6 linked regions of the Macaca fascicularis genome follow. The protein of the gene in region 3 interacts with the protein of the main gene of each other region in a pairwise test. Links are inferred from orthologs where the notes say so. Each region holds a gene or a part of one and is shown on either strand. Other genes may lie near its edges. The genes, in order: JADE2, EHBP1, PACSIN1, ANKRD24, COBLL1 and COBL.

Region 1 (4,968 bases), on a different chromosome or scaffold from region 3:
TTTTTGCCATGCCGTTTGTGTCTGAAGAATTTCTTTACTGGAAAAGAAAGGCCTTGGACAGGAGGCAGAGGGATGAAGTTGGTGACCTGGTGAGACCCTGATGAGTCTGCGGGCACTGTGGTTATAGAGGAGAGCAACCATGTTGGCAGGGCCTTGGGAGGCAGCGTGGCTGACCTTACCAGGAAGGTAAGACTCCAAGGAGGAAGGTGGGCATGCTGGGCTGATCTAACCAGATGCCCTCCCCTGGCCGCTCTGGCTCAGCCAGGGACCACAGGGCCGAGGCTGTGTGTGGCCTTAGGTTTTGTGTCCGAGACATGCAGCACAGGGCTGAGGATGCGCTCAGGGTCTGGAAATTGGTTTGCAGATGTTCTGGGCAGGATAGGCTATGGTGGTAACCTGTGCCCCCGGCGCTGCCTCTACCCATAGCAAGGTCCCCAGAGCTGGGAGGTCTGGGGTGGTTGCCTGTGAGTAAGGTGGAAAATCTCTCTTGTTTTCTCAGGTTAGAAATCTGTGCTACATGGTGACAAGGCGCGAGAGAACGAAACACGCCATCTGCAAACTCCAGGAGCAGATATTCCACCTGCAGATGAAACTTATTGAACAGGATCTGTGTCGAGGTAGGCGCCTTCCCCACCTGCCACTGCCACCTCCGTGTGCCCTCTCTTGCGGGGCTGGGTCCCAAGAAGGGTGTGTCTTGGGACCCTGGTAGGGTATCTGCGTGGAGCCAGGGGCCACTGGCCCCCACCCCTACCCTTCACCATCCAATTAGTCGGCCCAGACGGGGGCCTGCCAGGGTCCTGGGTTGTGTGTCACTAGGCAAAGAGCCAGAGGTTGGAATGTGGGCATCAGGCCTGCCCTCAGGGAGCTTTCTGGTTGACTAGGCCACAGCAGTTCAGGAGCTGATTGCATGTGAACAGGTACAGAGAAGAAGGCCTAGTGGCTTTCTGCTGGTGCTGAGGCAGGAAGACGCCAGAAGCTGGTGAGCTTCCCTGAACCCTGGTGTGCCTGGGAGTCAGTTTCGAAGAAGGCAGCTGCCCCAGAGATGTGATAGGACCTGGCTATTGTTTCTGTCTGACCCTAACAGGATTCTTGCACTGCATCTGCAGTGTTTTCCGCTGTTTTATTCTTATTCTTCGTATTCTCTTGGCGTCACATGTGTTCAATGGGTCTGGCAATCAAAGGCTGAAGGAAGCTCTGACATTGATCTTATCTGTTAATTGTGGATATTGCCAGACACAGGACCCTTCCTGGAGCGTATACATGTTAAGAAGGGCAACACTTAGCCCCCAAAGCGGTACCCCAGTGTTTGGTTTACATGCAGCAGAAATAGCTGGGTGGAGAGAGACCTTGAGCCTGGGTCTGCCAATGCCACTTCAGCCTCGGAGCTGAGCTGGGCCTGGAGTGGAGAGGAGGGAGGAAAGCTGCTGAGCCACCATTGGAGCAAATGACTGAGGACCTCTGCTGCCCCTACTTCTGCCTGAGAGCTGAGCTGACCTGATTGTGCTTTGGCATCACCATCCGCTCTGGCCCCAACATCTAGCCTTGCCAAGTTCAGGTGCTAGTCGTGGCCATGCAGAGCTCACCATGTACCCAAAGACTGTGGCAGCTTCCTGGCTGCTGGAGCTTTCCAGGCCCCCTGTCTTCTGTTTATTCATTCAGCCAGCATTAGCTGAGCATGGATTGGATAGGGTTCCTGCCCTTGTGGAACACACCATCTGGAGAGAGAAAGGAACGTGGTATCGCAGAGGCTACAGTTGCTGCCAGTGCAGGGATAGAAGTATCAGGGATGTCTTCCCAGAAGCAGTGATGCTCCGACAACATCTCAGGCCTCCTAGCACTTGGCTGTGGCCACATGTCGGCTGCAGAAGGAGAAGCCCATGCAAGGCACCCACAGTTGAGGAAGCAGAGGGTGGCAAGCCACGAGCAGTGCCCTCAGGCACAGGATTCCAGAAGCATGGTCAAGAGCCTGGAGGGTTCACATCCCCGCATTGGTTCTGGGGACATTTGCAACTCCTTGTCTTGAGTGTCAACAACAGGCAGCTGTTTGTTCAGGGCAGGGCGGGGCATTTGGAGATGACTGGTTTGCCCTGTCCAAAGCTGCTGCTCACACTGTTGGGAGGCTTGACGCTTGGGGTGGGTCATGGGCTGTGTGCATATTGGTGAGGCTGTCTGGCTTGGCGGCTAGAAAAGGCCTCCTAGTGGAGATGATATTTGGGCTGTGAGCTGAATCAGATGAAGGATAGGACAAGAAAACAACGTATTTGGAGACTTAGTGGCCACAGCATGTCTTGGCAGAGAAACTGGAAGGAGGCTGGAATGGCTGCACCGGGCAGAAGGAAGACACCTAAAGTAGGGGTGATGGGTAACCAGGGTCACATGTGCAAGATCTTCTTGTAGCCTGGGGGAGGAGCTTACACTGTCCTGAGAGCAGTGGGGAGCCTCTCCAGGAGCCTGCCTCCAGAGTGTCTGGGCATTGGTTACATGCCATGTTACAGATGAGATTGCCCAGGCACGGTGGCTCATGCCTAAAATCCCAGCACTTTGGGAGTCCACAGTGGGAAAATCCCTTGAAGGCAGGCGTTCCAGACCAACCTGTCTGTACAAAAAAAAATTACAAAAATTAGCTGAGCATGGTGACACATGCCTGTATTCCTAGCTACTTGGGGGAGCAAAAGTAGGAGGATTGCTTGAGCCCAGTAGTTTGAGGCTGCAAGTGAGCTATGATTACACCACTGCACTCCAGCCTGGGTAACAGAGCCAGGCTCTGTCTCTAAAAAATAAATAAATAAACAGATGTGGCCAGGCACAGTGGCTCACACCTGTAATCCCAGCACTTTGGGAGGCCAAGGTGGAAGGATTACTGGAGCCCAAGAGTTCAAGACCAGTCCGGGCAACATAGTAAGATCCTGTCTCTACAAAATTTGAAAATTAGCCAGGTGTGGTGGCGTGCACCTGTAGTCCCAGCTACTCAGGAGTCTGAGGGTAAAGGATCACTTGAGCCTGGGAGGTCAAGTCTGCAGTAAACTATGATTGTACTACTGTGCTCCATCATGGGCAACAGAGCAAGACTCTGTCTCAAAACAAACCAAAATAGATGAGACTGAGGCCTGGCCTGAACTGAAAGGATACAGGAGCCAGGGGTGCACCCTGAATCTCCCATCCAGTTCACTGCCTGACTTTGAAAGCCAACCAAGAGACCAATGCAGGAGACTGGTTCAGGGGAGCTGACCCTGGGGTTAGGAATGGACCCCAAGCCTCTCGACCCCTCAGATAGTGTTCCTTCCACTGACATGTCTAGCTCCTCAGCCTGGCATTCAAGGCCCTGACCTGTCCAGACTCCCCTCCAGCCATTCTTCCCACCACCCACACTCTCTCCCAAGGCTGCAGGTTGTGCGGGTCAGACTAGAGTCCAGGTCCTGCAAGGGCCTCTCCTTGTGGCCCTGTGGCCACCCCAAGTCCCCCACAGGGCACAGTGGACAATTGGCTCACCCCACCATGCCAGCCGTCCCCTGGCTCCAACCTTTTTGCTGTGGAGGGTGAGCACTGACTGATGGAGGACTCCTGGGCTGCCACGCAGGGATCTTGGTGCTGACTGAGGCCACTCAGGATAACCATATCCCTCCTCCTCTCGCTTTCCCTGACACAGAGCGGTCTGGGAGGAGAGCAAAGGGCAAGAAGAGTGACTCGAAGAGGAAGGGCTGCGAGGGCTCCAAGGGCAGCACTGAGAAGAAAGAGAAAGTGAAGGCGGGGCCTGACTCAGTCCTGGGGCAGCTGGGTGAGTGAGGGCCATGCTGGCCTGCAGACACGGGCAGGCTTGACCATCACCACACTTGCAGCTCTGCTCTGCAGAAGGCCAGCTGCACAGAATAGGAGACTGAGGCTCAAGAGCGGTAACCAGGCCCTTGCTTGCCCAGGTGCACACACCTTCCACCCACAAAGGAGACAGATCTCAGAGCCCCGTGTGACATCCTGGGAAATGCCCCTTATGTAGACCTGGATGGAGGCTGGGCCACGCCCATTCAGGAACTGTCCAGTCATTTCCCTGGCTGGATCCTGGTGGCTGGATTTTCCCAGAGTCCCCCAGGACAGCCCGCATGCTGGGAGGGGCGGATCTACCAGAAAGCCCCATCCTTGTCTTACTCTCCCAGAATCCTCTAAATAGGCCCTTCCTGTAACAGCAGCAGACTTTCCTGGAGCTACCCAGAGATACCCAGAGGAGTGGCTGCAGGCCCTGGCCCTGCCCATCACCTCCACTGCCCAGGCCTCCTGTTAGGCAGAGCAGCCTAATGGGAGCATTGTGACTCATGGACCTCATGTGCTTCCTCCAGAGATCTCGGGGAGCATCATGGAGTCCCCTTCCAGACCTTGCCTCTGGGACAGAGGCCCCAGGTCATCCTTTCTGTCCCTCTGTCTCAACAAGGGGACAACCCAGGCATGGTGGTGCATGCCTGTATTCCCAGTTCTCAGGAGGCTGAGTTGGGAGGATCACTTGATCCCATGAGGCTGAGGCTGCAGTGCACCATGATCATGCTACTGCACTCTAGCCTGGGTGACAGAGCAAGACCATGTTCCTTCATTTCACACCCCTCCCGCAAAAAGAAGGGGATAACTTGGGTGTGTAACAGGAAACCCAGTCTCACGTCTCACCAGCTGTCCCTTCCCAAGACCTCGGTAAGGGAGGAAGGATCTGCCTCCCTCACATCTGCTGGCATCTCACTTGCCTCCTCTCTCCCCTGACATCCAGGAGGGACTGGATACTGCTTGCTACCCCTATTCGCGCCTGATCCCTTTATCCAAGCTCTTTGCTGCAAGCTCTGGGAGTCAATGCTTATAAAGACCGAGTGCCCTCTGGTGGCCTGAGGGCATTTTCCTCCAGATTCCTCCTTCCCCAACCCCACCAGAGTGGGGGTGGTGGGCAGGGCCAACTTCGTGGGTAGCAACCTATGCCGTTGCACAGGGTCCTTGATC
Region 2 (5,571 bases), on a different chromosome or scaffold from region 3:
TAATATCAAACTATACTACTTGAATTTCCAGCACATCCCATGCTAGGTAAGCCTCCATGCTTCTGCATAGGTTGTTGCTTCAGTCTAGAATGTCTTTCACTTCTTCCCCCTTGGCTTCCTGGACAACTATGAATCTTTCAAAACCCAGCTCAGATACTAGGAAGCCATCCCAACAACTCATCCTCTACCCTTAAAGAACTGATTGTTTTTCCCTCTGCTACCTCTGTATGTAATAATGGCATCTATTAGGCACTATGTCCCTGACACTGTTCCAAGCATTTTACATGTATTAACTCATTTAATCTTCACAATTACCCTCCCTATGAAGTGGCACCATTATGACCTTTATGGCTATGGAAATTTGAATCACAGAGAAGTTAAATAATCTGTCCTCAAAGATACTCAACTGGATGAAGACAGATTAAAATCGTTATGTCATACATATTTATACTACCGCATCTCTCACAGTAAATTTATTCATGTGACTCTTACACTAGACTGTACACTCCTTGAGGACAGGGATTATGTCATATTCTACTCTAAATCCACAGTACCTGGTATAAAGTAGGTAATGAGTGCATGCATTTCTCAAACTGATTTTAAAATAATATTCCTAACAAGTTGAAGAGAAAAGCATTCAGAAACTAGTTCCAAATAAATATTCAAATATGCTATGAGTTCTAGAATAGAGCAAGCTATGTTTTTAATCTAATAAAAAGGATGTTAAAAAGAAAGGTTATTACAGACCTGAATTACAGTCCTTGTGGACAAAGAAATGGGCTTATTTTGCAATTAAGTCCATTACTGCTTAATCACTGCAGTAAATCAAGGCCCAAACGACCATTTGCTTAAAATTAACTTTTTTATCCCACTAAATTAAAAAATTTTGTTGTTTATCATTCAGGGCAATGGAAAGAAAGCCCTATATTTACTCTTCTCAAGTGGAAAGAAGCCAATCACAGACCAGCACTACTAATTGCTTCCTTAAATCTGGCCAAGAAATGTATCCCATTAGGCAATTAAAATAAAATACAGTTGCCTGAGTAAGCATTTAACAAAAGAATTTCTAAGGTTTTGTGGATGGCAGTCCATTAATCAAATAATGAAAAATTCTTTATCCTAAGCAAGGAAAAATGAAAAAACAAGAAAAAAAAAAGATTACCATCACCCCACAAGAATATAGACTTCTATATTAAAACTCAATTCAGTCATATGCCTATGTTATATTAAAGCATATGCATACATGCTCACAATATTTCAGTAGCCATTCTTTGTCTCCTTAAAATTACAAAAATCAAAGTTATTTTAACACTAATGATGAATAACCTCAAAACCAAATGTACTGTATTTAGTGTGCTCTCACAGTTACAGTCCTCTGAGCCATACTGAAGTGCAGTAATTAAAATCCACAGGGATGATACTAGCTGCAACTGTGCACAGCATAGTACTTGTTAGAGTTATCTGCACCCCACCCAGCTTCTACACATTAGTGCACTGTAGAAAGGTAAATAAACTATCAGAAGACCCAGAGTTTAGGCCACAGCACAGCAAACTCTACCTCCACATACATCTTACCATTTCTTCGTACACTCAACCATCAGCTCCTGGTAGGAGGCCACAAACTGGAACTTGGATGCATGTTTTCCCACACGCTGCAGTCTCTTCCAAACTGAAGCCATGATGATCAGTCAAGACACTGGAGCAGTTCTGGGTTAGCAATACAGCAGCTTTAATAATGCAGAGGGTCCAAAGCAAACGAACTTTGCATGTATGTCTTTTAAAAACTCAACTACAACTCGAAATGATGCTTGGGGTCCATAAGTCTTCTCCCTGTTTCACAGGGTAAATTCCATCTTAGATGAATGGCCCAGTCAAGAACACTATGATATACGTGACAGGATGAGTGGGAGGGGGTTCCCTCATGGAGACATCACCATGCCACCTCAGGGGCTATATGTGTATTCTGGAGGACTGAAAAGCAAAACAAAGACAAAAAGAGAAAGAATATGAGGAGAGAATCATGAGAAGTGACTAACCACCCATGTTAAATAACGCTGCAAAAGACCATCCCAGTTCTCTGCATGTCTTTTAAACAATGAAACAAAACACCGACCTCAAAAGCCAGTAACATCAAGGATGCAAGACACCAAGGAAGAAATTACAATTCACACCGAAGACGTGGAGCGACACATCAGGTAGTCAGCATCAACAACAATCCAGAGAGATGGTAACTCGGGGCCCTACCTCCCCGTTAGCATCACAGAAGGGCGAGCAGAGCGGGAAAGTCTAGGGATGCTGTTTAATGTCCACCGCCAGTCAGAGGGAGGAGTGGAGTATTTTTAATAAACTTTGTTTTTCAGCCGATAATTAATAGCCTCAAGTCCGACAATATGTGCTTGGAACAAATTAGGGAGCCAGGAGGAATGCTGTTTTTCAGTCGGAGGGAGGAAATGGATGGGAAACGAGGAGTGGAGGGAAATCTCCAGGCAGAGAGAGGGCAATGTCCCGGCTCCAGGCCACTTGGGCTCCTTCGCTGCCAACCGGAGGGAAATGGAAACTCCTGCCTGGGCGTGAAGCAATGACCAGCGGGGCAAGTGGACTGTGCAGGGTGCGGTGCCTCCCTCCCCCATCCTCAGGGGAACAGTCCGCCGGAGCCCAGTCTCCTCACGCACAGAGCCCAGACCCCTGCCCCCCAGCGGAGGCAGGCGGTGGCTCGTCCGCGGTCCCTGTCACCCAGGCGATACCAGAAGACCCCAGCCCGGACCCCAAGCCCCGGCCCCGCCGCTCGTCCACTCCCGCCCCCTCCTCACACCTCTAATCCCGCTGTCGGGTTGTGTCTGGCCCCGTTCCCTTCTCAGAGGCGCTCCTCCGTCGCCGCCGCAGCAGCAGCCGCCGCCGCCGCCACCGAGTCCTCCATCCCCGCCGGAGCCACATGGAACAGCCAAGCCAGCCACGGCGCTCGCGGGAGCCGGGATCTGCAGCCCCTCAGGCGGACGGCGCCCCTCACGCCCGCCCCCTCCCTGACAGATCGCCCCGCGACCGTCCCCCACCCTACCAAACCCTGCCAGAGCCGCCGCTCAGCGCCCAGCACCCCCTCCCCCGCCTTCCTCCTCCGCCACCATCATCATTACCTCCCCCGCCGCACCTCTCACACTAACCCTACCCACCGCAGCTGAACCTCCACCGCCCCGCCGCCATTGGCCGGGTCCCGCGCGTGCCCCGCCCACCTCAGCGGCCGGGTCTTAGAGTGGCTGGGGTGCCTGACTGGTAGAACTGCCTGCCCATCAAAGGGGCTCCACCTTCCCCTTGCTTGGGAGGTGGTTTTTCTCCAAGCCGGAACGCGACGCACAGGCAACCTTTTTGTAAAAAAAAAAAAAAAAAAAAAAAAAAAAAAAAAAAAAAGGAACCGACTAAGTACGATCCCGCCCGTTCTTCTGATTGGCTTGGAGAGGGAAGCGATAGGCGGGAGGAATAGGGAGTGTTTATACTGAACTGGAAGGTGATTGTAGAAGGTGGCTGTCCGTCAAAGGCGCCGCCGGTGCCGGGCTGGGTTTCTGGACCCTAAGGGTGATTGCAGACCTGGAGACTGGCTTCGCAGCAGCTGTGGGCAGTGCGGCTGCCTGTGGGTTTCTCTCCTGTTCTCATCTCCGCGAGGACCTGGGCGCGCCCTCTCCTCCACCACTGGCAACTAGGGTTTTTGCGCATACAGCCTTTATTTCACCAATTCCTCCTGGGATCTTACCTGACAACCTGAAGTAATGACCCTGTCAGCCACCCCCCCTCAACCCGCTCCCCGCCCAACATTGAGTCAACTGGTCTTCAAGAGGATTGATCAGCTGAGCTAGACACAAAATGTGTACAGTACAATTTCTTCTTGTTCGGAGTCTTCACGTTTCTTTGAATCTTGGTTTCTCCTCTTCGCTGTCGGACTCTTTTGCCCCCAGTGAGAACTGTAGATGGATTTGGGAACAGCTAGCGTACAAAAAGGGTAGTCAAAGGCAAAAAGGAGGAGGCAGAGTGAGGGCAGGGACACTTAATCTTGTTAAAAGAGCCAAGGGCCCTTTTGAGAACATGAAAGCTACAGATACTTTCTCAAGGGGGAAAAAGTGTCCTGTCTCAAAACACAAAAATTTGTTTTCAGTTTTAGATGGTTCACAGACCTCTGGCGTAGAGAAACAGGACAAAGAATGAAACTTCAGGGGAATCCTAGCATTTAAGGAATAAAATTTAAGAGTAAAATGGGAAAGAGACTGAGAAGGAATAATCAGAGAAGTAGGCGCATCAGCAAGCAATGGGCAGACAGTTTGGGGAGAAAAAGAGAGGCAAGCTAACATAAAAAGAAAGGAAGCGGGATAGGCTCTGGAAACAAGGATCGTTCAGTCTTACGAAAGTTGGAAAGCAGGGTTCATGGACAAAGTAGCTTGAAAGGTGTTAGGGTCCAGGGAGGATTCTTTCAGGGACAGGGAGAGCAGTGGTGAGTGAGAATTGAGTCCATCTATAGACACTGGGGGCCAAGACAAAGTGGAGAGACATGTTGAAGAATCAAGAGAGATGGGGAGACAGATAGATGGAAGGCTTGAATCCAGTATCTAATTCAATTTCCACTTTCAATAAAGAAAGTGATCTAATAACACAAGAGCACAGTGTGCATTTTACAGAAGAGAGCATAGTTATCGCTTATTTTGCTAGTCAATTCTAAAATGTTACAATAATCGTAATAATCATATTGATTCTTTTGTATTAAGAGTTCTCTGATGTCCTTCCTGAGTAGTTTACGAAGTCACTACAACCTATAGCCGTTATGATCTCATATAATAATATATTCTGCATCATTAATAGGCTTTAAGTGTGTGGAGTTCTTTAATGGCTAATTTGTAGAAATGGTCATAAATTATTTTCATCCAAGTTACCCTTCAGAAACAATCCACATGATGATCAGAAGGTTTTTGCACCCTATTTATTACTGTTCTTCGTAAGTTCTCAAACTTTCTCATGTGGTCATTCTGGTTTCTTTTAACATGCTTCCCTTACTCAAAAGGGAGAGGGGGAAGAGAGAGAAAAAAAGAGACTGACTTTTATTGTAAAGAAATTCTCTTAAAAGTAATGTTTTAAATAGTGTCTTTTAAAAAATAAATAAATAAAGGAGTAGGATCCCTAGGGAATCTTCCTCAAGTTGTGGGAAATTTCAAGAGACTGATGGTTTCTTATGACAGCTCTTCTTTTTAGGGGAAGTATTTGTCTTGGATGTAAACTCTTATTTTTCCTTCTAGACACCAAGGTAGCTAAGAAGAGATCAAGGTTAGAATAGTTTACTAAATGAGTGAAGGAATCAAGAACAGCTCTTGACACTGTTCTGCCGCTGACCTCATGTTCATAAGCTGTCTCCTGGAGGCCCTACAGAGCAGCTACTTCTTCCCCTGTAACATTTTTAAAAACAACCTGTCTACTAACTAAATTTATTGAAGAATATTAAATATAGAATATGTTCAGCTCTTTTGGGCTGCTTTGTTGATAGTTATTGAATACCAACTGAATATTAATCTTTTTTTTTCTTGAGACAGGGTTTCTCTC
Region 3 (4,968 bases):
CTCTCACCCACCCCCACTGTGCGCGAGTTTATGGGAAAGTCTGTCTGTGGTTCTTCTAAAAGGGAGGGAACAAAATATGTTTAGATGCCTGAGGGGTGCAAGAGGCAATACGGGGTTATTACTGGGAAAGAGCCCCAGGCCCTGGACAGATGGGGAACCCTAGGGGAAGGGACATCCTCAGCCAACCATTCTTACATGTTATTGCCCCTGCCCTGAGCCTGAGAGCCAGCTGCTGGTAACGGCTGGGGGTTCCCTGGACCCCCAGGTTGGGCTGAATCTTGCAGAGGCCAGCCCTCCCTGAGCATCCACACTATCAGGGTTCATAGTCCTGGGACTGCAGTGCAGAAGCAAGAAGGTGTCCCCTGGTGCCTGGATCCAGCTAGTGGCTGGCAGCTCACAGCCTGGCCAGGCCCAGCCTGGACTCTGCTGCCTCTTTGAAAACCAGGCCCCTGGCCCTCTTGAGTCCTGGCTCCTGACTACTGAGCCATTCTTGCCTGGGGTAACAGCGAGGGCTGGCTGGGGAGGGGAGGAGGGGAGTACCCACCTTGGCCCTGGGGCAGCGCACAGCCTAGATTGGATAACCGTGATGCCTGCTGACAGATCCAGGGCAGACACAGCCACCCCAGATGCTCCCATAGATCTCCGTGGTGTGACCTGTGAGATCTCGGTGGTGTGACCTGTGGGCCAGGACGCCACACATTGGGATTCCCAGGAGATTTGTAAGGAGCTAATGGGGGCTGCTGAGGTTGGCAGCAAGGGCAGCCAGAAGGGCATTTACAGGGTCCCGGGGCTCAGATAACTGAGGAGGCGCTGAGCCTGGGCTCCAACAGTTCAGGAGACAGAACCAGCTCTGGGGGCTGGGGCTGGGGCTGGCTTCTGAGTGGCGGTGCTCATACTGGAGCTAGAGGATGGATTCGAGGGAGGGGGAAGGAGGAGGGATGGGGAGTTGGGCATGAGGGTGCTACAGGGCGACTCTTAGGGTTACCCTAGGTCTGGTGAGCTAGTTTCTGGACAGGAAGCTGACATCCTAATGCAAGCCTCCTCCCATGGAGCCCCTATCCCATCGGGTTGGGGACCCAGGACTGGAATGGGGCAAAGGGTGGAAGGCCCTTCTCTCATCTCCATGGATCTCTCTCCTGCCCTCCCAGTGCATGAGCAGCTGAGCCTGCTAACCGCAGCTCCGCACTTGTCCATCCCCCTGCGGCTACACCATGTCCGGCTCCTACGATGAGGCCTCACTGGCTCCAGAGGAGACCACCGACAGCTTCTGGGAGGTGAGGCTCTCATGATCTCCAGGTTCTGGGGACCAGACAGCCTGGCTGTTTGGAGGCCAGGCTCCCCTATTACTCACCCCATGACCTCAGGCCCCACTCCCCAGTCCCCCAGGCCCCTCCAAAGCCCTGGGTGTCCAACAGGCAGCGGTAGCCATGAAGTGGCCCAAGAGCACTGCCCACTGAGTCAGGAGCCCCTCTCTCCCCACAGCTGCCCCCAGAGAGAGCCTGTGGCATTTCACAATGTGGGAACAGGCCCTTTGTGACTCTGGCACTTCCATCAGGCAGGTACAGCACAGCCTTTCCCAGCTGTTCCTGTTTCCCTCGCTCGCCCCCGATGCTGAGGTGGGCAGGGGTGGAGCGCTGGACACAGAGAGAGGGAGTGAGCTCCCAGAGCCCCACGGGGCCCCTTCAGGCGCGGCCAGAAGCCAGCATTTTCAGAGCCTTCGGAAATATTTGAGACCTGGAGGAAAAAAATTGCTATTGGCTCCTGAAACCCAAGACGAAAACTGCCAAACCTAAATTAATAAGCGTTTAATGAGATGTCTACAAAACATAATATTATGTCAAGAAGCTGCAGCTCAACTCAACGCTTATATGACTCTATATAAATATAATAGATTTAACTCGCAAAAACAAAATGAATAATTCATTCCAGCCCAAGTCCAAATTCTAAAAATCCTTCTGCATTTTGTGGCAGCGAGGAAATCATGTTTAAATTGGGGTGAGGGTGCGTGTAGACGGTGGGGCCTGACGCAGGGTGCTGGAGCCTCCGAAAGTCAGTTTCCCTGCTGCGTTGCGGCTGGGCAGCGGGGCTGGGGGCGGGGGCGGGACCGGAGGCCGTGGGCGGGACGGCGGGGCGGGAGACAGTGGGCGTGGCCGTGCTGGTTGCGGCGGGCGGGGCAGGGGACGCTAGGAACCCGCGGGAGTGGTGCTCGCTGCTTGGCCGCCAGGTGGGGAACTACAAGCGGACCGTGAAGCGCATCGATGACGGCCACCGTCTATGCAACGACCTGATGAACTGCGTGCAGGAGCGCGCCAAGATCGAGAAGGCGTACGGGCAGCAGCTCACGGACTGGGCTAAGCGTTGGCGCCAGCTCATCGAGAAAGGTGCTCCCCCAGGCTCACATCCTGCGCGCCCCCAGGCCATCACCCGCCCCCTCGGTCTGGGTCCTGGGAGCCCTGGATACTTGCATGCACCATGCCCTGCATCTACCAGCCATAGGACCTTTTCAGGCTCTGTTCCCTCCTAGATCAAACCAGGCTTACCTGTTCATCTGTATTTTGTACAACTTTAGGTTGGATTAAAAAAAAAGCAAAACACTTTTTATCTTGAAATAATTCAAACTTTGTGTGAAAGCTGCAACAGTAGCACAGAGAATTCCTACACACCCTTCCCCCAGACTCACTGGCTCCACGTTTGTTTTCTCACCGACTGTTTATTGATATGCATATGTTCCGAACCTTTTGAGAGTAAGCTGGAGCCATTATCCGTTTACCCCTAAATTCTTCATTATCTCCTAAGAACAAGAGCATTTGCTTATGTAACCAGAGTTCAACTACCAAATTTGGGACATGAATACAACTCATACACAGATTTACCATAACAATTGTGCTTGCTAGTCCAGGATCTAGCGCAGTCGCACATTGCCTCTATGCATCGTGTCTTCAGGTTCCTTTAATCTAGAACAGTTTCAAGTTGCGGTTTACATATACTTGTTCGTGTTATTCTCTTGCAGTATACTCTAAACCCCATGAGAGCAGGGGCTGGGCCTGCACCACCTAGCACAGTGCCCTGCACAGAGCTGGTGCCAGTACACAAACAACAAGTCAATGTGGAATGACTGGTCCCCAGTGGCCTCCTGGCATCTGTCACAAGCTTCAGCTAACATTCCTAGAGCACCTACTGTGTGCTTGGCGCTGTGCTGGGCTTGTCAGAGCTCACAGGGTCCAGGCTGCCCCCCTCTGACCCCACTCTGTGGGGCTCACACGTTGACGGGAGAGATAAAGAGGAGGGAGGTACAGCTGCAGATACTGTGAGAAGAATGCAGCAAGGGCTGCAGGCCGTGGCAGTTGGGTAGAGCAGTCAGGGAAGGCTTCCTGGAGATAGTGGTTGATGTGGGCCCTAGAGGATGGGGCCATGTAGAGCAGAGGAGGGCATTTCTGTTGCTATGGCAGGAAGGGGAAAGCCTCAGAGAAGGGAGGTGTGAGGGGGGCCTCTGGGCAGGGGGCAGTGAGGTTCCTGTGACCTATTGCCACTCCCTCAGGCCCACAGTATGGCAGCCTGGAGCGGGCCTGGGGTGCCATAATGACGGAGGCAGACAAGGTGAGCGAGCTGCACCAGGAGGTGAAGAACAACCTGCTGAATGAGGACCTGGAGAAGGTGAAGAACTGGCAGAAGGACGCCTATCACAAGCAGATCATGGGTGGCTTCAAGGAGACAAAGGAGGCTGAAGATGGCTTCCGCAAGGCCCAGAAGCCTTGGGCCAAGAAGATGAAAGAGGTGCTCAGTGGGTGCTGCCACGGGTGGGGTGGGGTGGGCCCGTCTGATCAGAGGGTGCTGATCCCAAGGAGGGCATCTACGGATGGGTGGGCTGGGCACTGCCCTCCGGGATTGTGCCCACAGGGGAGCAGCACTGCCTTCCAGGAAGAAATATTCACAGATGGGTGGGCAGTGCCCACTGGGTAAGGAAACCCATGGGCAAGAGGGCACTGTCCCCAGGAAAGATACCAGCAGCGCAGACGGGCACATTGGCCCCTGGCTCCCCAGATGGGGTGGGCACTGCACTGCCTGACAGGAGGGTATCTGCAGGGGAGCAGGCAGTGCTAAGCAGAGACAAAGCCACAAATGGAGGAGTGCTGCTCCTGAACATCTGGAGCCAGGGCTTGCATCCTTTCTGGCTCTTAAGAGTGTGGGCTCGGCCGGGCGCGGTGGCTCAAGCCTGTAATCCCAGCACTTTGGGAGGCCGAGATGGGTGGATCACGAGGTCAGGAGATCGAGACCATCCTGGCTAACATGGTGAAACCCCATCTCTACTAAAAAATACAAAAAACTAGCCGGGCGAGGTGGCGGGCGCCTGTAGTCCCAGCTACTCGGGAGGCTGAGGCAGGAGAATGGCGTGAACCCGGAAGGCGGAGCTGCAGTGAGCTGAGATCCGGCCACTGCACTCCAGCTTGGGCGACAGAGTGAGACTCTGTCTCAAAAAAAAAAGAGTGTGGGCTCACAGCTCCCAGGGAGTGGGCAGGGGAGGAGTTGATGGATGACCATGTTTGCTGCTGGTCACAGATGAAAACCCTACTCCCTATTCCCCCCTCCCCACAGCTGGAGGCAGCCAAGAAGTCCTACCATTTGGCTTGCAAAGAGGAGAAGCTGGCCATGACACGGGAGATGAACAGCAAGACAGAGCAATCGGTCACACCTGAGCAACAAAAGAAGCTGCAGGACAAAGTGGACAAGTGCAAGCAGGATGTGCAGAAGGTGCTGGCCGGGCCGGGATGGCAGCAGGGGGTCTGGGGGTCCCCTTGCAAAGGATGGTGGCTGGGAGCTGCAGGCCTGGTTAGGTGTCACCCTCTCTCCATTCTGGTGCCCACAGACACAGGAGAAGTACGAGAAAGTGCTGGAAGACGTGGGCAAGACCACACCCCAGTACATGGAGAACATGGAGCAGGTGTTTGAGCAGTGCCAGCAATTCGAGGA
Region 4 (3,663 bases), on a different chromosome or scaffold from region 3:
AATCATATCCAGTTCTCACAGGATAGGTGCTTTTATTATCCCCATTTGAGGAAACATAAGCACAGAGGGGGGAAGTCACTTACCCAGGGTCACACAGCCATGCAGTCTTTCAGCTGGGTTTGTACCCGCGCTCCCACATTCCCACGTTTGTTCCTAAACAATGATGATAACAGCAGCCTCCAGTTGTTAGATTGGGAATTTTTCACACATTACCTTTGTTTTTTTGTTTGTTTGTTTGTTTTTTTGAGAGAGAGTCTCGCTCTGTCGCCCAGGCTGGAGTGCAGTGGTGCGATCTCGGCTCACTGCAAGCTCCACCTCCCAGGTTCACGCTATTGTCTTGCCTCAGCCTCCCCAATAGCTGGGACTACAGGTGCCCGCCACCACGCCCAGCTAATTTTTTATGTGTTTTTAGTAGAGATGGGGTTTCACCATGTTAGCCAGGATGGTCTCGATCTCCTGACCTCGTGATCCACCCGCCTCGGCCTCCCAGAGCGCTGGATTACAGGTGTGAGCCACTGCGCCCGGCCTTACACGTTACCATTTTTAATCTTCCTGCAACTCTAAAAGCCAGAAAGCCTTTTTTTTTTTTTTTTGGGGACAGGGTCTCACTTTGTCACCCAGGCTGGAATGCAGTGGCACAATCTCAGCTCATTGGACCCTTGACCTCCTGGGTTCAAGCGATCCTCCTGCCTCAGCCTCCTGAGTAGCCGGGACTACAGGTGTGTGCCACCACACCTGGCTAATTTTTTTGTTTCTTCTTCTTTTTTTTTTTTTTTGAGACGGAATCTGGCTCTGTTGCCCAGGCTGGGGTGCAGTGGTCAGATCTCAGCTCACTGCAAGCTCCGCCTCCTGGGTTTACACCATTCTCCTGCCTCAGCCTCCCGAGTAGCTGGAACTACAGGCGCCCGCCACCTCACCCGGCTAGTTTTTTTTGTATTTTTTAGTAGAGACGGGGTTTCACCGTGTTAGCCAGGATGGTCTCGATCTCCTGACCTCGTGATCCGCCCGTCTCGGCCTCCCAAAGTGCTGGGATTACAGGCTTGAGCCACCGCGCCCGGCCTTGTTTCTTTTTTTGAGAGAAAGTTTCACTCTGTCGCTCAAGCTGAAGTACAGTGGTGCAATCTCGGCTCACTGCAACCTCGCCTCCTGGGTTCAAGAGATTCTCCTGCCTCAGCCTCCTGAGTAGCTGGGATTACAGGCATGCACCACCACACCTGGCTAATTTTTGTATTTTTAGTAGAGACAGGGTTTCACCATGTTGGCCAGGCTGGTCTTGAACTCCCGACCTCAGGTGATTCAGCCTCCCAAAGTGCTGGGATTACAGGCGTGAGCCACCATGCCTAGCCTGTTTTGTTTTTGTTTTTGTTTTTTTTGGTAAGAGACAGGGTTTCAAACGCCATATTGCCCAGGTTGGTCTCAAACTCTTCAGCTCATGTGATCTTTCTGCCTCAGCCTCACGAAGTGGTAGGATGACAGACGTGAGCCACTGCACCTGGTTTCAGAAAGTATTTTTGTCCCCATTTTCCAGATGAGCAAACTGAATCTTTAAGAGATGAAGTTAGTGGCTCAAAATCACGCAACATGTCACTGGACAGGAGATGAGACACCCAGAGTCCCAGGCGCTTCAGCATAAAGAATGACCCAGCCTCGACTCACTGTGTGACCTTAGACCAGACACTTCACCTCTCTGAGCTTCAGTTTCCGCCTCTAAACAGAGGGCAAAATTGCAGTTAGGATGATGGTTTATCTATAGCCTGGTTTCTTCCCCTGCGCACTGTGGATGTCGAGGCAGGATCGTTTCCTGGGCTGGGGCTGTCCTGGGCATTGGAGGGGACTGAGCAGCATCCCTGACCTCCACCCACTCCATGCCAAGAGCTCCTCCAGGTCGTGTTGTCCTCACACAACACCCAGTGTCCCCTTGGGGGGCAGAATTGCCTCAAGTTGAAAACCCCTGATGTATAGTAATAATAAGGCCCTGCATTTATTGAGTGCCTACTGTTGACCAGGCACAGTTTAAACATACTTTCTGTGGAGGATCACAGCTACTACTAAGTTAAGAACTTGGCCGGGCACAGTGGCTCACGCCTGTAATCCCAGCACTTTGGGAGGCCGAGGCAAGTGGATCACCTGAGGTCAGGAGTTCGAGACCAGCCTGGCCAACATGGCGAAAACCCGTCTCTACTAAAAATATAACCATTAGCCAGACGTGGTAATGGGCACCTGTAGTCCCAGCTACTCAGGAGGCTGAGGCAGAAGAATTGCTTGAACCTGGGAGGCGGAGGTTGCAGTGAGCGGAGATCACACCAGTGCACTGCACTGCAGCCTGGGTGACAGAGCGAGACTCTATCTCAAAAAAAAAAAAAAAAGACAAAAACAAAAAACGTGAAAACCAATTTTAGCTTGTGGGTTGTATAAAAACAGGCTGTGCTGGTAACCATAAGCATCTAAAATAGAAATAAATAAATAAATAAATAAATAAATAAATGAAATTAAAACAGGCTGTGGGCCAGACGTGGCACTCAGGCCAGAGTTTGCCTGGGACAGGACCTTCCCTCGAAGGCCTTTATCCCTGGCCTTTTCCTGCGGCTGCAGAGAGGTCCTCAGCCCCCAGCCCTGGGCCCAGGGTGATGGCTGACAGCACTCGCACCCCCAGATCACAGAACTCTCCAAAGAAGTCTTCAGTCTTAAGGAGGCCTTGAAGGAGCAGCCGGCCGCCCTGGCCACCCCCGAGGTGGAGGCCCTCCGTGACCAGGTGAAGGATTTACAGCAGCAGCTGCAGGTAAGGGCCGGGCCGGGCGGGGGCCGCGGGACCATCAGGATGGAGGAGTCCAAATATTTACCAATCAGCACAGCATGGGTGGGGATCCCAGGAGAGGGGCTGGGGTGGGTCGGTGGCGTCCACATCACCTGCATGGTGCGGCCAGGAAATATTTCCTTTATTTCTTTTGAGACAGGGTCTCACTCCATCACCCAGGTGGAGTGCAGTGGCACAGTCTCGGCTCCCTGCAGCCTCAGCCTTCCGGGTTTAAGCAATTCTTGTGCCTTAGCGTCCTGTGTAGCTGGAATTACAGACACGCACCACCACACACCCAGCTAATTTTTGTATTTTATTAGAGACGGAGTTTCCCCATGTTGGCCAGGCTGGTCTCAAACTCCTGGGCTCACATGGACCTCCCAAAATACTGGGATTGCAGATGTGAGCCACTGCTCCTGGTACCCACTCCCCCTTTTTTTTTTGGACACAGGATCTTGTGCTATCAGGCTGGAGTGCAGTAGTGCAATCATAGCTCACTGGGCAGCCTCAAACTCCTGGCCTCAAGCAGTTCTCCACCTCAGCCTCCCAAAGTGCCTGGCCATATTTCCATATATCTATAACTATATCTATATCTATGTAAAAAGACAAAAATATATATATAGATATAGATAGATAGATAGACAGACAGACAGACAGATAGATTTTTTGAGACAGTCTCACTCTGTCACCCCGGCTGGAGCGGGTGATCTTGGCTCACTGCAACCTCTGCCTCCCAGCTCTCAAGTTCAAGTGATTCTCCTGCCTCAGCCTCCTGACTAGCTGGGACTATAGGTGTGAGCCGCCTTGCCTGGGAATTTTTTTTTTTTTTTTTTTTTTTTTTTTTGAGATGGAGTCTCGCTCCGTTGCTC
Region 5 (5,533 bases), on a different chromosome or scaffold from region 3:
GGGCGGATCACCTGAGGTCAGGAGTTTGAGACCAGCCTGGCCAACATGGGGAAACCTTGTCTCTACTAAAAATACAAAAATTAGCCAGGAGTGGTGGCGGGCACCTGTAATCCCAGCTACTCGGGAGGCTGAGGCAGGAGAATCGCTTGAACCCTAGAGATGGAGGTTGCAGTGAGCTAAGATCGCATCACTACACTCCAGCCTGGGCGACAAGAGCAAGACCCCTTCTCCAAGAAAAAAAGAAAAAAAAAAGAAAGATTTATAGCAACTGTGATTATTATTTTGCTAATCATTGGCTACAGTGAGGATAGCTTAGTACCATATGTGAAGACCACCAAGCTTGGTGGTGCTCTTAAGTGGTTTTGCCCAACATGAGCTTATTTCTTGGTTATGTGGATTCTGTTGTAGGTCCTTGGACTCTCCAGGGCAGCTGTGCTCTGGGTGATAGTTTAGTATTCCAAGAACCTTCAGTCTTGTGTCACCTTCATTTTAATACATGCTTTCATGATTGTAGCAGCAAAGGAAGGGAACATAGAGACTCAAACACTGGCTTAAGTAATTTCACCAGGAAACAAAGCATTTCATGTCTGTTCACATTTCCACTTACCAAAGTCACAGGGTCATACCTAATTTCCATGGGGTGGAGCATATATTTCTCCCTAGGACCAGAAGGAGGAGAGCAAAAAGTGGTGAGCACTGAAAATGCCTTCAGCGGTTATGAAATGTTATGAAAATGTTTTATGACTAAGATAAGGCCTAATCTTACTAGTATTAGGGTCCATAATATTACTAGTATGTCGTACATTAAGGCTGAAACTAATTAAAGATTTAATCTTGTCTTGTGATTGAAAGTTATGGACTTTCAAGTAGTTTCCCTGTTACTCAATATTTGCATCATTGTCTGTGCAAGCAACTGTAAAAGCTTGCACAGCTCCGTGTTCAGAAGCATAAATGATTCATGAAATTGTTTAACTAGAGTTATTGTTTAAAGACTAAAACCCAGAAGTATTTACATAAATTGCTTTACTCTTAGTTAAAATCTCTAAAAGCAACTTTTTCTAATATGGTTCCAGTATTGCAATCCAAATGAGTCATGTGTTTTTCTTTTCATATTTAAGATGCACTGAAAGACTACATTATGCAGTGAAAGAAAGAAATACCAATGCCTGCGTATGATAGACAAATGGCACACTGCTAGGTATTTAGTTCAGCAACCTTTTTTGTTGCTGAAATGGATAAACAACTAAAGGAGCATTAAAATCAATTTAATTTTAATACCTGCCAAATGTTATTCTATCAGTGGCTAACACAGGTTTATTACTTGATGTTAGTACTACAACAGAAGTCCCCTGCAGGATGTTCCTTCATGTAAGATCTCTCCATCAGTTTAATCCAAATATGTTTTTAAAACTGTAATTTTAAGTTGATTTCTTAATGTCATATGGTTTTCTGAAAACACATTTTTGGACCCATCAGAATGGCTCGCATCTTAAAACAATTGGCACTTATGAAAAATATAAAATATGTAAATAATTAGGGTGGTGCAAAAGTAATTGCGGTTTTACCATTACTTTTAAAAATGGCAAAAACCGCAGTTACTTTTGCACCAACCTAGTACCTGTCTGTCAGGTGTAAAGAATCATGTAAAAGGCATGCACGTGGATACTAAAACGTTCAAACAAGCACACATCTGTGTCTAATTCCTTTACCCTTGTAAAACTTCCAATAAGTGAATACAATCTATCAGTTAATTCTTAGTTTATAGACTGTCATCAGACATTCTGTTGTCCAGTTCTCATGTCAGAGCTGTTATAGGCTTTTACAAAAAATGCCTCTGAAGACAGGGCAAGCTTAAACCTGCCATCAATTAGAAAGATCTGTGTCACAGGTGCACTTTTAAAAGAATGGCAATCTTAGAGGTCAAGTTAAAAACACAAATTTAAAAAAAAAAAAAAACAATCCTGGACGTCGAGGGTCAGACTCCAGGGAGGGCAAGCTGCAGGTCCCACTCTGCGAGTTTCTGTCCTCATTCCGCGGAGGCCCTAATCCTCCCCGCGGATCCTGGCAAGGCAGGTAACCTCCCTTCCCCCACACCTGTCCGGCTCGGGCGCACCAGCCTTCCCCAAGCGCAGCCCTAGCGGTGGGAATGGGAACACCTCGTCTGGGAGCTTCCTTTCGGTTCAGCTTCCCCAGCCGGACCCCAAAGACCCGAAGCCCTGGGGGAAGGAAATTCCAACTCGCTCCCGGCCCACCCCCGCCCCGTTCCTTTCTCCGGCTCGCTGCTTCCCTCGCTCCGATGCCGCCGAGCTCGTCCCCACTTCTGCGCGGCAGTGCTGCACAGGCGGCGGCGAGCTCCCGGACTCCGGGCAGGGAAATGGGGCAGGGTGAGTGAGAGATCGGGCTCCAGCGAGGCCCCCAGCGCCCAGCGAACGCCCGCACCCCGCCCGCGGGACAGGGGAGGCGCTGAGTCGGCCCTGCCCGCGCTGGGCTGAGCCTCGCAGGGGTTGCCGCTTCTCCATTCAAGTCCTGGCTTGAGAGCCGAGCGGCAAGAGCGCGGGCCGGGGGAGGGAAGAGTAGGAGAGGAAGCCGCGAGGGAGAACAGGCGAGCTACTGTCTCCTTTGGGAAAGAACGTAGGAGCCTTGGGTGGGAAAAGAGAGATCAGCCCTTCCAACTTCTCTTAGGGAAAAGTTTTCCCGGGGCGTTTTGTTTGTGCAAACTCGGCCGGAGGAGCCTGGGAGTGCGCTGCCGGCGTGGCGGCGGTGCCCGTGCGCCCGGCCCCGCTCTTCTCCCTCCCCGAGAGGCGCCAAATGGCTACCCAGTAAACCCCACGGGGCGGGGGCTGCAGCGCCGCCGCCTCCTCTGCGGTGCTCTGGGCGCCCGCTAGACCTTGCAGCGACGGCGGCGGCGCCCGCGGGCTGGGAGCCGGGGCCCGCAGGTGGAAGCGCACCCGGGAGGCGGGCCGGCCCGGGCTGGGGCAGCGCGGGCGGGCTCTTGACGCTCAGCCAGCTTCGCTCCGGCCTCGGGAAGGCGTGCGTCCCGCCCTGACCCGCCGGTCTCTCCCACCCCAGCAGTGACGCGCCGCCTGGGAGCTGGAGCCCGCGCAGCGCCCCGCAGGGCGATGGACGGCCGAACCCCGCGCCCGCAGGACGCCCCAGTCGGGTAAGCCCAAAGCGCCGCGCCGCCCCTCACTGGGGAGGGCGAGGACGGCGAGGATAGCGAGGCCTCGGCCGTTTCACCTGGCTGGCAACTCGCTGCCCTGCCGGCGGCCTGACTCACTGGCTGTCCTCCACGCGGCCGGGGAGGCTGCTTCCTCCCGGCCTTCTCGGAGGCCGCCCGGGCGGAGGGCTCGGGTCGTTTCTGGTTGCCTTCCTACCGGGGCTGCCCTGGGTTCCTGAAGGCCAGCTGAATGCCAGGAATTGGGTGAGGAGTCCGAGAGCAAAAATTGTAACAAAGGGGCCCTTGTTTGGGCTCTGGGGGAGCGGTGGACGATACCTGTAAGTGAGCTCCTGGGGAGGGAGGGCAAAAGTTTCCTTGGCCATGGGCTGAGACCCAGGCAGGTGAGCAATGCCAAGGTGACTGTAAGGAGTGGGCTTTCTGCAGGCGGTTGGAGGGGGACAGGAGGGTGTGCCAGCTGTCAGCCCGCATGACAGTTCCGGGAGCGAGCGGGGTGCGCGCCTCTGACTGGGGGTGTGTGTGCCTGTGGCCAATTACTGGTGCCAAAACCCAGGGCAAATCAGATTGCAAACAACTCTACTTTTCTTTTTATCCTCACATGTTTGAGAAGAGAGGAAGGGGCTGTCACATGGTGAGTTAATGTTAAATGAGGCATGTCTTCCTGCCAGATATGCTAATAGTCACCTTGCTAAGCGTTTGAGTAAACAGCAGTGAGAACAGGTAGTTCTGCAAGAGATGAAGAAAACCCGAAATTAACCTTGGTCTTGGTAAATAGTTCAGGAGTAACCTGGATGCTAGTTGAGCTTCTGAAGTGGGAAACTCATTTGATGTAGTACAACTTCTTTTCCCCCCAGCGTTAAGTGTTCCTCCAACAGTTTATTTTCTTAGTTAATCTGAACGCAGAAATGCCCAATTGAGAATATGAGCATTCCAGAAATAGAAACGTTAGGGAAAAATCGACGTTGTCACTAATGAATGAGACTTGTACAATTTTCCTGATTTAAGAGTGTAGAAGTCATTTTTCCCTGGAACATGACAGGCGTTTCCTTAGAAGCAAGTCACAGCATGTTTATTCATCAGAGACCATGCGAACATTGGCAGTTGTCTAGAGGAAACATGGAAAAGTCTCAAAGCAACATGACTAATCTAAAAGATATTTAGTATAATTTTTACATAGAGGAAACGTAGTATGTGAATTAATTATTTCATTTTGCTCCAATTAACTTTCTCCTCTCTGCAAATATTCCTCTCGCTGTTGACTTTCATTTCTTTCCCCAGGTTTTTCATTGTTTAAATATTATCATATCTCCTTACATATATTCTCACATTAGGATGAGTAAAGAAATATATTGGTAGAAAGATATTGAGCATACAAGCAAGATTCCTAAGTGGAGCTGCAGAATTATGTGAATTGACGAGACAGCTGTCAGGATACTGAAATGTATTCAGGGATTGCAAAATAAAATAGAATTAAATCGGGTTTGGAAATGGATTAGGTTAAGGTACTTTCAAAAACAAGAAAGAAAAACATACCTGCTTTCACAAAATACACCCATGGGTGTTCAGAAGTCACTGGGGACTTTAAGTAAATAGGTGAGGTCAGGTGGCTCTGTGTTGAAGAAACAGAAAAACACTTTTTGCTGGCAAGCATAACTATAGTAAGAACCTTCAGACTTTACTCTTGGTATTTTATTTTAATGTAGAGACGAGGTCTTGCTATGTTGCCTAGGCTGATCTCAAACACCTGGCTTCAAGCAATCCTCTAACCTTGGCTTCCCAAAATGTTAGGATTACCAGTGTGAGCCAGTGCGCCCAGCCACTTTTGAGAATTTAAAGGTTAAACTGATAAGTTATTTGCTTAAAAAGGAAGTACAAAAGAGCTTTATCTAATTTGTCAAACATCTTTAAAGGACTTTTGCCCTCCCCTTTTCAAATTTAAGTAGGGAAAATGTGTCAACACCTTATCTAAAATAACACAGTAGTTCTATCATTTTACCTGACATTATTCTATTCAGAGAAGTGATCATTACCTGAAAAATATCAACATTAAAAAATTACCTCTCTACTTCATTTGTCTTCTTTCACTTGTCTAACTTGTCCTTTGGCATATGCCTGTCATATAAGATTTGTTGAATATTTAATATTCAGTATTGCCTCTGTTCTTTCTCAAAAACCCAGAATATAAAAGGTTTAAATTGGGGGAGAAATATCTAGACAAGGATATTTTGGAGGTGGCAGGCAGCAATCTTAATATGTTATAATTGTTAGGTTTTGGAGGAAAATTTCTTGCTATAAAACTGACTAATTATATCATAACTCATAACTTTAATAGACAATGAAGCCTAGTTTAGTCTTTAT
Region 6 (4,968 bases), on a different chromosome or scaffold from region 3:
CTTTGAAGTAAAAGTATGTCTGTAATTTTGTTTGGCTGGGCTTTAAGCATCCTAAACTAAGAGCAAGCATTTAAAAAGTTTTCCATCTTTCCAAGCATTTAAATCTATTTTCCATTTCAGATTGCTCTTTTATATAGCAATTTCCATTTTTCTCTGCCATATATTTTATTAAAAATTTAAATATATTTAAACCATCACATTTCATGAAAGAGAAAAGCACAACTTTAGTAAAGTGCATTCAAATAATTAAAGTCCGTGGCAAAAGTAATAGGGAAGACAGTCATGCACCTCTTGTGGTCCTTATTAATGGGTCCACATGCACACACATCTCCAACCAGCCCCCTTTGTGTAGCTTGTCAGAGGACATTAGCTGAGACTAATCTGGAAGCCACTTCCTGGCTCCCAAATGGACATAGTCACCAAATAAGAAAGACTCATTTATCAGAATAAAAACTTTGCTACGTGAGGGTTGTGCAAAGCTTATTTCATGCATCATTATCTGGGCCTGATTAGCAATGATGGAAATTGGTCCTCAATTTTTAACAATCAGCGGAAAACAAACCTTCAGCTTTCACTGAAGATAGACAATTGCCATAGACATGTCTCTGTATTTTCTGCACAATAGGAAAATAGAGGCAAGAGCCCTTGCAAAGACAGTTTTTAAATTGTTTTGGCAGCAGTTGTCTCACAGATGCCATTGTCCCTGTGACGCAAATAAAGCCAGATCCGGCTCTCTGAGCAGACGGGTTGACATCTTCCTGGCTGCCCCGTGCCACAGGGGCCACATTATTATGTGTTGTGGCCCCAGATGCAGCTGGTCATTCCTGGGCTTTGGGGCAGGAGGCCTGGTTCTGGATGCCCGTGTGACCTGGGCAGCTCTGTTTCATCTCTGTACCACAGTGACAGCAACACTACCTACCTGAAAAACTGTCTGTGAGGGTTATAAGAAGATAATTGGTGCAAAAGAGCTGTGTTCGGGGGCTGGCACAAAGGCATGCAGGCAGGCCTCACGCTGCTAGGAGCTTCCTCCTGTTGAGTCTGAGAGGGGACCTTGGGAAGGGGCTTGCAGGGTCAAGGGTGGAGCGGTTATTCCTGTTACTGTTGCTGTGAGGTTTCTTGGCCATCCTCATTATCTTTATGTCCCAGTTCAAGATCCCAGGGAGTACAGCTCTTCAATGGGCATTATCAAGCCCCCAAGCCCTGCCCCTGCAAGTGGCATTATCAGGCTCCCTGTCACCCACCCAGGGTAGAAATTAAGCCAAAGTAAACATAGAGTCTGTAAAAGTCATTTATAGTCGGGCAGTGAAATTTCTCGTTTTCTGAGTATGGCAGGGTGGGCCACTGCTAGGGGGGACACAAATGGAGGCTGAGCTTATGAAGTTGGTGGGACTTCTGGGAACCCTCCTCCATGCAGCCCTGCACAACCCTCCCCATGGGCCTCCTAACAGCAGGCAGATCCTGCGCCAGAGGTATGTAGCCTTTATCACTGGGACCTCGAACGATGCTGCACTCAAATCCCCAAGTGCCGAGGAACAGCCAGGCTGTGCAGTGTCAAGGTGAGGTGGACCAGCCCCCAGCCACGTGCACATACTTGGCCTCCAGATGGCTTCATTCCTTCTTGCCAGGTGCCAGGTGCAGGGAACTTGCTGTAGTGCGAGGCAGAGATGCAAGCAAATCCTGGATCACATGAACCTGTCTTTTGTGCAATGGAATTAAAACTTTGACTTCAGTCTGCAGAGTGAATGAAAGCTGTGTGTGGTTTGGTTACTTTTAACACTTTGGGGCCACACACACACCATATATCACATGCACACCACATGCAAGACATATACTCCACACATGCACACATGGCACCTGCATCCCACACACACCTGTGCACACGCACGGGGGACACACACACCCATGAACAATCTGCGTCTCCGTAGTTCTGAGGACAGCAGCAGTACAGTGAGTATGTGACTGCTTGAATTTGAGTGTGAGCTGTTCTATCCTCAGATATTCCTGGAAAGGAGTACATTAAATCAATAGTAAGAGAAATGAGTACTCCTTTCTCTTTGGTCTTCCCCAGAACTGAAAAAGCTGCCACAGCCTCAAATGATGAAGAAGACCTATTAATTACTGGACAGTTCCATAAAACCCTTGCAGAACTTGATGAAGACCTGGAAGGTAAGAACCACCTGATCTACTACTTTGATATTATGCTGCATGAAAGTAGGTGCCAACAGTAACTTCCTCTGAGCATACTTTGATGTATCTACGTGAGGAAATGGCCTTCAGAAGGAATTCCAGTCCAGTTTGGTGAAAGCCTGGATGTGAGGCACACACAGTTTTCCAGTAGACTGCTTTTTATCTGGGCCGCCAAGCAGTACCTGGAAACATCCAGACAGCTGCTTACAGTGTGCTCTGAATAATACTAATTCTGCGCATTAAAAAGTATGCTGCACATGCTAAAGAATAAAAAGGGTGGTGCAAAAGATAAACAGATTTCCTCATTAAGACTTCTCTTGATTTGCTAATATATGGCATCTCAATGAGAAATAGCCTTTTGACCACAATGAAGCCATTTATAATGGAGCATCTCATGGCACTGCTATTATATTGATATATTTTGGGGAAATAATACTGGAAGGCCAAAGCAGATGGCAAATAATTGCAGTAAACAGCTAGGGAATCTTTCAAACAAAGCAGCTATGTTATTTTCTCCAAGGCATATGTTGAAAATAAACTAAAAATTAGATATTTATCATGCCTTAAAAAGAGAGAGAAGATAACAGACTGCAAAACTGACGGGTTGTTTTTGTCTGACTCACTTTTCAGTTTCCTGTCCTGAGAATGTATAGCTGACAGAGCTAAAAATCTGAATCAGCCATAGTGTGTCCCGCAGGTTCTGACCCCATGACCATTGCATCGTTTGGTGCTTGGAAGAGCAATGGTAATTCTGAGATACTCAAGACTTAGTCATCTGCTTCCTTAAGAAGTTAAAGCTAGAGCCCGTGGTCCTCTGGATTCTGTTGTGCTTCTAGTGGACATGAGAAACATGGAGGTCAAAACCCAAAACTCACTTTCATGTTTCTATGTTGAGATAGTTTTTCCAGAGGCTTGGATCTAGAAATCGATTTTTTTTTTTTTTTTTTTTTTTTTTTTGAGACGGAGTCTCGCTCTGTTGCCCAGGAGTGAAGGATGTTGGCAGCACGTTGTAACTGAATACCTTGCCTTGAAACATCATGGATCTGCAAACAGCTGTGTTGAGTAATGAAAGTTGAGATTCTGGCCCCAGGCATATTATGTAGATTACAAACCCAAATAACATTTTAAAACGTACGTAAATAATGTATTCAACAGTAACCTCAGGGAAATCAAAGTCATGGCTGCAATTACACTAAGTAATTGGCGTGGGAAACCTCTGTGATTTGTGTTTGTCCCTCTTTGCAGAAATGGAAGACAGCTATGAAACCGACACCAGCTCCCTTACCAGCTCCATCCATGGTACATCCAACCACTGCCCACAGGATGCCATGGTCCCTCACGGCGACACAGATGCAATCCCAGTAACATTCATAGGGGAAGTTTCAGATGATCCTGTGGATTCGGGGTTGTTTTCCAATAGAAACAACAATGCTGGGTCTTTCAACTCGGAGGGTGTTACCAGCAGGAGAGCCTCCCTGGCGCCACTTCAGGCTGAGCACAGCCAGCCCCCTGGAAAGGCAAGGGAGGAAGTACCTGCCCTGCACCCCGCTTCCCATGACATGGGAAAAGGAATCCGTGTGGCCTTATCCAACATCTGTAAAGACGGAAATCTAATGGAAACAGCGCCCAGGGTGACTTCTTGTGCTTCGAATCTTCACACAGACAACCTAAATGCAAAAGTGAAAGACAAAGTGCATGGCTGTGCTGACGGGGAAAGGACTCAGGCCACAGAGAGAGTGAATTCCCAACCAGTGAATGAAAAGGAGGGCAATGATAAAAACGCTGCCCTGGCACCAGCGTCATGGCACCAACGAGGCCAAAACCCAGGGAGAAGCTACAGACTGAAGCACGGCCTCACAACATATAAAATCATTCCTCCAAAGTCAGAGATGCGATGTTACGACAGAGACGTGTCCCTCTCCACCGGCGCCATTAAGATTGACGAGCTGGGGAACTTGGTGAATCCCCACACCACCGGCATCAGGATCATTTCCCTGTCTTCGTCTGTGCCTGAAGCAGAATCTCAGCCCATTGGGAAAGTCAAAGAGTTCTGGAGGTGCAACTCTGTGGAAAAGCACCTGGGTCGGCCCTCGGAGAACTCTGCCAGGGGACCCTCCTCCCCGCCTGTGCGCACCCAGACGCAGCATCCAGAGAGCAGACACCAAGCAGACCCCAAGCCAATATTGCCCCAGGAGCAGTCTGCCCACCATGAGGGCCGGAACCCCCTCGAGGAGGGGAGAAGCCAGCCCCCCACCATGGGCATGCGTCACGTGAAGGTGCCAGCAGCTCACAACACAGAAGTCACATTTCTCAAGCCTCAGAGAAGAACATCCAGCCAGTATGTGGCCTCTGCCATTGCCAAGCGCATAGGACCCCCGAAAGTCCATGCTGACGTGGTAAGGCCGCACGGCCATGCCGAGAAGGGTTATGCAGGCAGGGTGCCAGTGCTGGCTGCACCACCTGTAACTGTGAAAGATGACAGGACCTCCAGCCCACACTCAGAGACACAAGGTTGGAAGGACGGTGCCCAGCGGCCCTGTGTCACTCCTCCTGACAACCATGGGGAAGACTCAGCAGTGGGAGCCCCTCCTAGCAGGGAGGTCAGCAGCCCACACAGGAAGTTGTATACTCAGGATGGACCTGCTGCTATCCACAGAAGCTCCTGTTTTTCACTGGTTCCGTCTTCCCAGAGGGATGGTGTTTCTGTGGGACAGAGCTGTGGTTTCAGTGGAAAGCAAAGCACAAGTCACCAGGAGGCCAACTCAGCATCTGAACCCAGAC

What was found.
Region 1: the proteins of PACSIN1 (region 3) and JADE2 interact in a two-hybrid assay, tested with the Homo sapiens proteins (2 studies listed by BioGRID and IntAct). The link is inferred for Macaca fascicularis from reciprocal best matches to the Homo sapiens genes PACSIN1 and JADE2.
Region 2: the proteins of PACSIN1 (region 3) and EHBP1 interact in a two-hybrid assay, tested with the Homo sapiens proteins (2 studies listed by BioGRID and IntAct). The link is inferred for Macaca fascicularis from reciprocal best matches to the Homo sapiens genes PACSIN1 and EHBP1.
Region 4: the proteins of PACSIN1 (region 3) and ANKRD24 interact in a two-hybrid assay, tested with the Homo sapiens proteins (2 studies listed by BioGRID and IntAct). The link is inferred for Macaca fascicularis from reciprocal best matches to the Homo sapiens genes PACSIN1 and ANKRD24.
Region 5: the proteins of PACSIN1 (region 3) and COBLL1 interact in binary tests that used the Homo sapiens proteins (3 or more experiments, as listed by UniProt). The link is inferred for Macaca fascicularis from reciprocal best matches to the Homo sapiens genes PACSIN1 and COBLL1.
Region 6: the proteins of PACSIN1 (region 3) and COBL interact in binary tests that used the Homo sapiens proteins (3 or more experiments, as listed by UniProt). The link is inferred for Macaca fascicularis from reciprocal best matches to the Homo sapiens genes PACSIN1 and COBL.

What each region holds. Positions count from the first base shown.
Region 1 is NC_088380.1:141,115,368-141,120,335, forward strand, and holds part of JADE2 (E3 ubiquitin-protein ligase Jade-2), read left to right. Parts: intron 1-499; coding exon 500-617; intron 618-3,646; coding exon 3,647-3,775; intron 3,776-4,968. UniProt on the Homo sapiens protein: Scaffold subunit of some HBO1 complexes, which have a histone H4 acetyltransferase activity. Acts as an E3 ubiquitin-protein ligase mediating the ubiquitination and subsequent proteasomal degradation of target protein histone demethylase KDM1A.
Region 2 is NC_088387.1:59,235,746-59,241,316, forward strand, and holds the start of EHBP1 (EH domain-binding protein 1), read right to left. Parts: upstream 3,336-5,571; 5' UTR 3,228-3,335; intron 3,217-3,227; exon of another isoform or gene 2,114-3,216; intron 1,972-2,113; 5' UTR 1,680-1,971; coding exon 1,576-1,679; intron 1-1,575. UniProt on the Homo sapiens protein: May play a role in actin reorganization. Links clathrin-mediated endocytosis to the actin cytoskeleton. May act as Rab effector protein and play a role in vesicle trafficking.
Region 3 is NC_088378.1:137,164,831-137,169,798, reverse strand, and holds part of PACSIN1 (protein kinase C and casein kinase substrate in neurons protein 1), read left to right. Parts: intron 1-1,148; 5' UTR 1,149-1,211; coding exon 1,212-1,274; intron 1,275-2,224; coding exon 2,225-2,381; intron 2,382-3,538; coding exon 3,539-3,774; intron 3,775-4,593; coding exon 4,594-4,749; intron 4,750-4,864; coding exon 4,865-4,968. UniProt on the Homo sapiens protein: Plays a role in the reorganization of the microtubule cytoskeleton via its interaction with MAPT; this decreases microtubule stability and inhibits MAPT-induced microtubule polymerization.
Region 4 is NC_088393.1:4,961,666-4,965,328, forward strand, and holds part of ANKRD24 (ankyrin repeat domain-containing protein 24), read left to right. Parts: intron 1-2,653; coding exon 2,654-2,779; intron 2,780-3,663. UniProt on the Homo sapiens protein: Component of the stereocilia rootlet in hair cells of inner ear.
Region 5 is NC_088386.1:60,395,343-60,400,875, reverse strand, and holds the start of COBLL1 (cordon-bleu protein-like 1), read left to right. Parts: upstream 1-2,250; 5' UTR 2,251-2,296; coding exon 2,297-2,384; intron 2,385-2,517; exon of another isoform or gene 2,518-2,631; intron 2,632-3,069; coding exon 3,070-3,160; intron 3,161-3,493; exon of another isoform or gene 3,494-3,617; intron 3,618-5,533.
Region 6 is NC_088377.1:79,403,331-79,408,298, forward strand, and holds part of COBL (protein cordon-bleu), read left to right. Parts: intron 1-2,068; coding exon 2,069-2,166; intron 2,167-3,145; exon of another isoform or gene 3,146-3,224; coding exon of another isoform or gene 3,225-3,249; intron 3,250-3,432; coding exon 3,433-4,968.